Tribolium castaneum: one gene and its partner. The protein of the gene in region 1 purifies or fractionates together with the protein of each later gene. This does not show direct contact. Links are inferred from orthologs where the notes say so. Each region holds a gene or a part of one and is shown on either strand. Other genes may lie near its edges. The genes, in order: CycB and Cdk1.

Region 1 (4,396 bases):
AAGCAAAAATGACAAAAAACAACAAAACATCATTAAAAATTACATCAAAAATGCAAAAAATACAGGTGCTCTATAGTCAGGACTGTCAGGAGGTTAGTATCTACGGCAGATGTAAAAAATATAATTTTCAAACATTTAAAGATCAATAATAGACTTATTCTAATCGCTGGGACACTCTGTATGTAAGCATTTGCATGGTCAATTGTTTTATGAAACAGGCCCCAGTTCATGATTTGTAGCAAATAAAAAAATAAATTGAATGAAGTAAATACTGTTTTATATTTCTTTATTATTATTTATTAGCTTATTATCATTCCATAGTATGTACATATTGTTTTGATACGTTCCTCTGTTTCTACAATTATTGATTGTTGTTAATAACATATTTCGGCAAAGTATCTTTGTTACTTACAACAGGAATAGGAACGCTTGTCATTAACTTAATATTAATACATTTAAACAAAAATAATCAGTGCTAAGCTAAATCGATAACAGAGTGAACACATGGAATAAGGTTTATCTAAATTATCTAATTACGGCCCTTTATCATTTCCCCCAGACCTAGCAGCCATTGCCGCATAGTACTGGTAGTTTTGGAGATTATTACAAAATTCGCAGTATCCTGGAGCCCCTTGTGGCCCAGGTGTACCTCTTAAACCAGGTGGACCCGGTCTTCCCGGTTCTCCCCTATCACCTGTACTTCCCTGTAACCCAACACCTGGAGGTCCCGGAGGACCTACAACGCACAAATTGACCCAATTTATTCACAACTCAAAAAACTTCAACAAACCTGGCAGCCCCCTAGGCCCCATTGGCCCTTCTATTCCAACTCCTTCGGGCCCTCTGTCACCCTTCTCGCCCCTTTCTCCCGGCAAACCTATCGAGCCTGGAGACCCTGCCGGTCCCGGCAGCCCCATGAAGCCCCTTTCTCCGGGTAAACCGGGTGGTCCTATGTCACCTTTAATATGCAAAAATATAGCTTTTGTCGTTTTTTGCGTTCTTTTGTGCATTGAAGCTAACCTGGGATACCGGGGGCTCCTGATCGTCCAGATGGGCCGGTTCGAGTCAAGCCAGGAGGCCCCGGTGGCCCCCGTAACCCAAGTATTAGTTCAGCGTGTCTATCTGCATGCAATTGCATTATTAGTTAATGGAAATGCAGTGAAATGTGATGGGTGTGCTAAAAATAATCAGGCAGTACCTGGTGGACCTTGGACACCTGGGGGGCCCGGCCGACCGGGTCGGGAGTGACCCGGAGGACCGGGGGGTCCGATCAGAGTTGCAGATAACTCGTTTAGCTGGTCTGATAACGATAAGTTTTTAATTTGGCAGAATTTTACAATTTAAATAATTCAAGAAAATTATTAAGTGGTTTTACCTCGTAACACTGCCGCACATATATCGCGCACCTCCGCCTCCGTGAAACTCTTGCCCTGAAAATAATTATAATTTATAACAAATAATTCCTGATTATGGATCTTGAACAGTTTTTGAATTTGGCGCGTGCAATTCAAGAAAGCGCGGTGGTAGCAGCGACCAATCACAAACGCTCTGAGAAATTTAAATGTCCATTGCTCGTTTGTCGACCATTTGACATGACAACGTTGCTGCTTGCATCCACACCGGAAATTTTTATAAAAGTGAAAAGGGTGACGTGAAATCTATTCCTTTCTATACCCAGTGTTTTATAATTTTTACAATTTACACAAGGTGAGTCCTGTTTCATTCATTATTTGGCGTTTCTTTCGATTTCATTTAAATGACAGACGGTTGCAGCTTGTAACGGTCATTTTTCAAACAGCATTTATCGTCAAACTTTTTATGAGATTTTATTTAAAGGGCAATCTCGTGACTAAATCCGTCTCGTTTACATTTTACTAATGTGGGGAATGATTGCAGGCGGATGATTTTAAAAGTGAATATCTAATGTGGCATTTAAATTTGTTTCCAAATTTCTCTAATAATACGAATTAACTGAGCCCTGTTCTACAAATATTTTTTGCAACTTTGTACTTTGTAAAAATTGTAAACTCTATCTAAAGTTAATGTGTTCCACCAATTTTCTCACCCGTTTTACAGATTTTTGCAAAGTGTGCATAAAGTGCAAAGTTACAAAGTCGTTTCTCAAAGATTTCCTCTGAAATGAAAGAGTTTTCATGATAAACCTTTAAATAGATTGAAAAATTAAAAAAATAAATTGTTTTTTTTTTTTCATTTTATTTATTATTTTTTTTTTATAATTGAAGCGTTGAAATATCAAAGGGACTAAGTGCCAAATTAAAATTTTTATTCAAAGAAAACTTCTTCTAAACATGCAGTGACACTTACAAGTAACACAACTCAACGCAAATTTATCGTAGTAGATTCTTTGTAACATTATTCTCCATAGCACATACTTTTTTCTATGACACAAAATAAATTTTCATAATAAAATTAATGTTTTTGTTACTTTTGTAAAATAAAATAACTTATTAGTATTTTAAAGGAGCTCAATTCTCACCTAACTGATCAGTCATAGTGCCCAATTTATATGAATTTTATACCTTACTTTAGATCAGTGTTTCCCAACCGGTGGTTAGCAAACCCCCGGGGGTTCGCGGTGTGTATAAAGGGGATTCACCAAAAAAGGTATTATAATGGCAGAATTTTTAAACGTTAACGTAAAAAATTACAAAACAATAAATTTAAATAAACAAGATTAACTATCAGTTTTCTGTTATTTATTTGAAATGAAATGGGTTTGAAGTTATAGCAAGTTTTTCTTCAGCCTTATTTTAAAAAAATTGCATTTTTTTAATTCACTTATTATTTATTATTAATTTATTTTTGTTATTCCTTTGTAAAGTGAGATGAATTCAGCTACCTTTATTTAATTGCTTTCTGTCTCTCATAATTATTTTGCATTTTCGTTACTTTTTTGTAAATTGCTTAATTGTTTAATTGCAGTGTAAATTTAACACCTTTTGTTTTCAGATTTACATCAAAAATTCTTATCGATAGGGAATTTATCTTTGTATTTGTGTTTTCGTATTTAGATTTTTTATAGGTTTTTTTTGCTAACACCTAACATCATTTTTCAAAATAAATCAAACACTGGATCTGACTTTCTTTACTAAAATTACTACGAATGAATTGGCTATTATGGTGCCAGCGTAAGAACTATTTAACATGTCTGTTTAAAAAATTTCTCTTACATAATATTAACTGCACTCTGTTACTAATTTTAAAATAAAAAATTTAAAATATACTAATTATGTATTAGTTTTTTTTTTAATTCATATTTATTAAGATTCATTCAGTTCACAATGTGCAACAAGGAAAATAAATAGCAATAGCAATAGCAGACACCGATGGGGAATCTTTAATTGTCTGTAGTGGAGAGGTGTCCACTAATGGCAGGTGGAAATTCTAATATAGTTTTCGTTACGTTCCTACAAAAATGTCCGTTGTGAAAAGGTGTCCGTTATTCGGAGGTGTCCGTTAAGAGAGGTTTTACTGTATCTATATACAAGAGGTTTGCCATTTTCTGTCGGATTTTAGAAGGAGTTGGGAACCACTGCTTTGGACTAATGGAAATTTTATTTCTTTTTTTTTCGTGTTTGCTTCATCCACATTCAAAATAAGTAGCATTGTAAAGGCCTATTGGGAAGGCTTCTAATAATAAAAGAAAAATCATATCGTCCCATTTCAAAAATTCTGTGATAATGTGTGTAGTTACGTCAAATTTGAGATCAATTAAAATACTAAATTACCTGTTTTCACATTTTTAATTTTGGAAAAAAAGTAATATGAATTTTATGTCACTTTTTAGTGACCAAAAAAAATTTTTACGTGTTTCATTCATCCATATTCAGAATAAGTAGCACGATGTTAACTGCCTATTAGTAAGGCTTCTAGTTAAGTAATTATACAACAAAAATGATATCGTTCCATTTAGAAAAATCTGTGATGACGTCATGACGCCGCCATATTCGCCGCTATGACTGATCCAGTTAGGTCAATTCGAGCTCAACTAAAATGCTAAGCTCCCTGTATTTGCAGTTTTTTATTTTTGAAAAATAAAAGAATTACAAATTTTATGCGTTACTTTAAACTCACTCTGTATAAAACAATCGATAATGATGACACGAAAATAACCGAAGAGAAGATAGACCTTAGATTTTTTGACTAAAACTTTTAGCACTTTTTTTACATACAAATTTAAAAAGTTTTTTTACAGATGGCCCACCGTGGTATCGTAACGTCGGTCGAAAACCGTGAAAACGCAATGGTCGCCAGACCCATTAAAAACCATTTACCCGCAGGACCGAGCCGACGCCCTGTATTAGCAGACAGTCTCAACCGCTTGGCTAACGAGAAACCTCTTTTAATAAACAGGGCTGAAACAGCGAAACCTCTT
Region 2 (3,514 bases), on another chromosome or scaffold:
CTCATGACTATGTTTTTGTCTATGATTTGGTTATACGAGGTGCGTTCGCACCAAAAACTTTAAATATTCCTTGATTTATTATTGTAGGTTGTTAGCAATTACATCAGTCCGAAAAAAACGTTCCAATCGAACCCGTTAGAAAACTTGAAAGATGATAAAAACAACTGTCCCCAACATTTTATCTACTCGAAAAAAGACATTCTTATTCCTTATACGGTAACCATCTTAACTATTGTAGCCAATCATCTTTTTTTTTTTTTCAAGGATATTGAATATTTCGCCAACTATCGAAAATCTCTGGGTATCGATGTAACAACTCTCTGTTACGAAACAAGTCCTCATGTTAAACACTACACCGAAAATAAAGAAAGTTACGTGAGTAGCGTATGCAATTTTTTAAATAAATGCCTAAATGGCACAAATTAATTCACACAAAAAACATTTCAACGCTTAATTAAACTTTAGGGTACAATTTATTTTTCTAGACGTTGTTGAATTGCACAAAATGTATTTATTTCAATTGTTTCATTAAAACTATGTTCCCAAATGATCTGCTTTATGTTGCGCCACTGTCCCGCATTTCCTTTCACTGTTACCATAGCTACATTGACGCATCACCATAGCAATATACACGTGCAGCTCGTGCATGATGTATTAAGGAGGTTTTCAAACACAAAAGATTTTTTAAACAAATATATTTAGAAAATAGTCATACTAAACACGATAAACCTAAACCTAACCGCTTATTTAAGGATCGGCTTTATTGACGTATCAACCTTTTGCAAATACGGATGTAAAGCGATTTTTTTGGCCGAAATCCTCTTGGCCGGGTCATAAATCAGCATTTGTTTCAACAAATCTATAGCGTCGCTAGTCATATTTTTTACCTGACTTTCCAAAGTACATGATTTCCAATTAGGGAACGTAACCTTATATTCAGGTAATGTGGACACCCCTGGCCAGATTTCGTCGCTTGGTGTTTTCAAAACCCTGAATCGAAAAAAAATGCAAGTTGTTTTCGTTTCTATAGTTACATGATTTGATTACCGAAAAATGCGGAAAAGTTGGTCGATTTCGGAGTCGCCTTGGAAAAGGGCTTTTTTGTTGGCCATTTCGGCGAAAATGCAGCCCAGAGACCAAATATCAATAGGGCACGAGTAACGTGCAGAGCCGAGGAGCACCTCGGGGGCGCGGTACCACAAAGTGACAACTTCGTGCGTGTAAACGCGAACCGGGACCCCAAAGGCGCGCCCTAGTCCAAAATCGGCCACTTTGATAGCCCCTTCGGAGTTGATGAGCAGATTTTGGGGCTTAAGGTCGCGATGAAGGACTCGTCTTTGGTGGCAGAAGAGAATGGCTTCGTTGATTTGGTAGAGGTAGCTTTTGACGAGTTGGGGGTCCATGTAGGAGCCCTGTGGGATGGTGTCGAGGTACTTCTTTAAGTCCATTGACAAAAATTCAAAAATTAGGTAAAGACGATTCTCTTCCATCATCACGTCTTCCAGGGAGACTATATTGGGGTGTGTGAGCTCCTTCAGGAGGGAGATTTCGCGAATGGCTGTGGAAGGCACACCTTCGTCTTCGGGTTGCAGTCGGATTTTTTTCATTGCGACTAGCTGACCCGTCTTCTTGTTTTTGCCCTTGTACACCACACCGTAAGTGCCTTCACCAATTTTTTCGATCTTGAGGAAGTCATCCATGTTGGCCCCCTGTTTCGACATTGCCCCAATATAACCAAACTTTCCACTTAAAATGACGTTTATAACGTCAAATTGCAATGCCTACACGACCACAAACACGATATTTTATTCAAAGCACACGAGTTTTGTTAATTTTTACACACTTTTAACGGCTCGTTTGAAGAAATATGGAGAAAGTTCGTTGGAGATTTTTGAACCAACCAATCGGGTACAATTATCCCCGTCTCTATCGCACTCACGTCAATCACAATAACCTGTCTTTTTTTTGGCGTAAATAGACACACATTACCAACTTCAGACACACAAAATTACTATACGATCGCCAAATAATAGCTTTGGCCAAAAAATGGGTGTTAAAATCCTTTATTATTGTTGTATAATAATTACAAAATCAAGCATTAATACGTGAATAAAATTACTGACAAAAAAAATCCATTTAACCTTTCAAACTGCTCATTCCGGCTCTCATTATTTCATCAACCAACAATAAATTGCTTGCAATCACCGAACACGAATTAATTATTTGTTTCTTCACGATGTAATTATCGAAAATTCCGGCATCTTTCGGATTAATCGGTTGTCCTGAAGCTAAATCAAGCCCAATTGGTTCCTTATTGTTACGAGATTCTTCTTGAAGTTTTACAATAGTATCCTAAGAACAACAAATAACTATAAAACAATCAATGAGAAAATCACACAAACCTGAGCATCGAAACCAGAATTCGTTGCCAAAACTTTGGGAATTACAAGAAGGGCTTCCGCGTAAGCACCAATTCCAAGACGCGATTTTCCTTTAACGGTGTCCTTGTAAGCCATCAATTCTTTGTGGGCGGTCACCTCAAAAGCCCCTGCGCCTGAAAAATATCACAAAAAACTGTTTTGTGTGCAAAATCAATTTGAATTAAGCGCTATGACATTTAGTGATTTTATTGGTACGGTTGGTAGCGAAACAATTGGCGGTGCATCAAATTTCGTGATGGCCGCTTACCGCTTAGTAAATTCGGGAAAAATCGCTGTTAAATCGGTTATTTCGTGCAAATGTTTGTGCAAAAGTGTTCAAAGACTTTCAGTGTTCCGATGTGTTGATCTAAACGGCGATTTTCAACATTGACAAGTAAGTACCGAAGTTGGGTTTTTGGTGATGGGAGTAGTTGAAGCAACTCGTAAATTCAATTTTTGAGCTCTATTTTAAACGGAAAACGCATTGTGAGTCTAATAAATTAACAATTGTGTGGCCAGGTCAGGTCATTGACCCCTATTTACAATTTCAAAGCCTAGTAACGCACATTTTTAAGACGCGTCACAAAATGACTGTGACGTCATCCATTAAGCAACTAGATATTTTGTTAATTTCGGGAAATGAGTGAGTTTCTGACTGAAAAATAATGCGCTGGAACCTTAAAAAAAGTTCAAAAATAATATAATGCTGGGCTTAATTTTGTAGTTTTGTGCAAATATGCTTGAAAAACGGCCTAAATTTAACGATAGTTTAGATTTTTTACAATTCTTGACTACAAAATTTAAAAAATACACAAATTTGGTGATTTTTTGGGAGATTTATGATGAAATTCAGCAAAAATTCCCATGTAGAAACTCATAAAAAGGATAATTTAATTTTTTTTTAATTCAGTTTTGTCTTTTTATTACCTGGAATCAAGGCTTTGTCCTCTATGGCATTATTGATGGCCCTTAATCCATCCCTCACAGCATCCTTGATTTGAGTGAGAGTGTGTTTATTGGGCCCTTTAATAAGAATGGTGACCGACTGTGGTATTTTGCATTCCTCAACGAAAGTATATTTATTTTCGCCCAAA

What was found.
Region 2: the proteins of CycB (region 1) and Cdk1 purify together in Drosophila melanogaster (affinity purification with western blotting; 8 studies listed by BioGRID, with this or other methods). This does not show direct contact. The link is inferred for Tribolium castaneum from reciprocal best matches to the Drosophila melanogaster genes CycB and Cdk1.

The regions. Positions count from the first base shown.
Region 1 is NC_087396.1:19,035,958-19,040,353, forward strand, and holds the start of CycB (G2/mitotic-specific cyclin-B), read left to right. Parts: upstream 1-1,548; 5' UTR 1,549-1,707; intron 1,708-4,205; exon of another isoform or gene 4,206-4,216; coding exon 4,217-4,396. Other genes in the region: collagen alpha-3(IX) chain, read right to left, coding at 534-736, 791-958, 1,021-1,122, 1,199-1,300, 1,376-1,430. UniProt on the Drosophila melanogaster protein: Essential for the control of the cell cycle at the G2/M (mitosis) transition.
Region 2 is NC_087401.1:17,534,563-17,538,076, forward strand, and holds Cdk1 (cyclin-dependent kinase 1), read right to left. Parts: upstream 1,930-3,514; 5' UTR 1,722-1,929; coding exon 1,048-1,721; intron 991-1,047; coding exon 744-990; 3' UTR 677-743; downstream 1-676. Other genes in the region: transmembrane protein 53, read left to right, coding at 1-39, 88-216, 265-426; CCT6 (T-complex protein 1 subunit zeta), read right to left, coding at 2,137-2,352, 2,403-2,554, 3,348-3,514. UniProt on the Drosophila melanogaster protein: Plays a key role in the control of the eukaryotic cell cycle. Required for entry into S-phase and mitosis.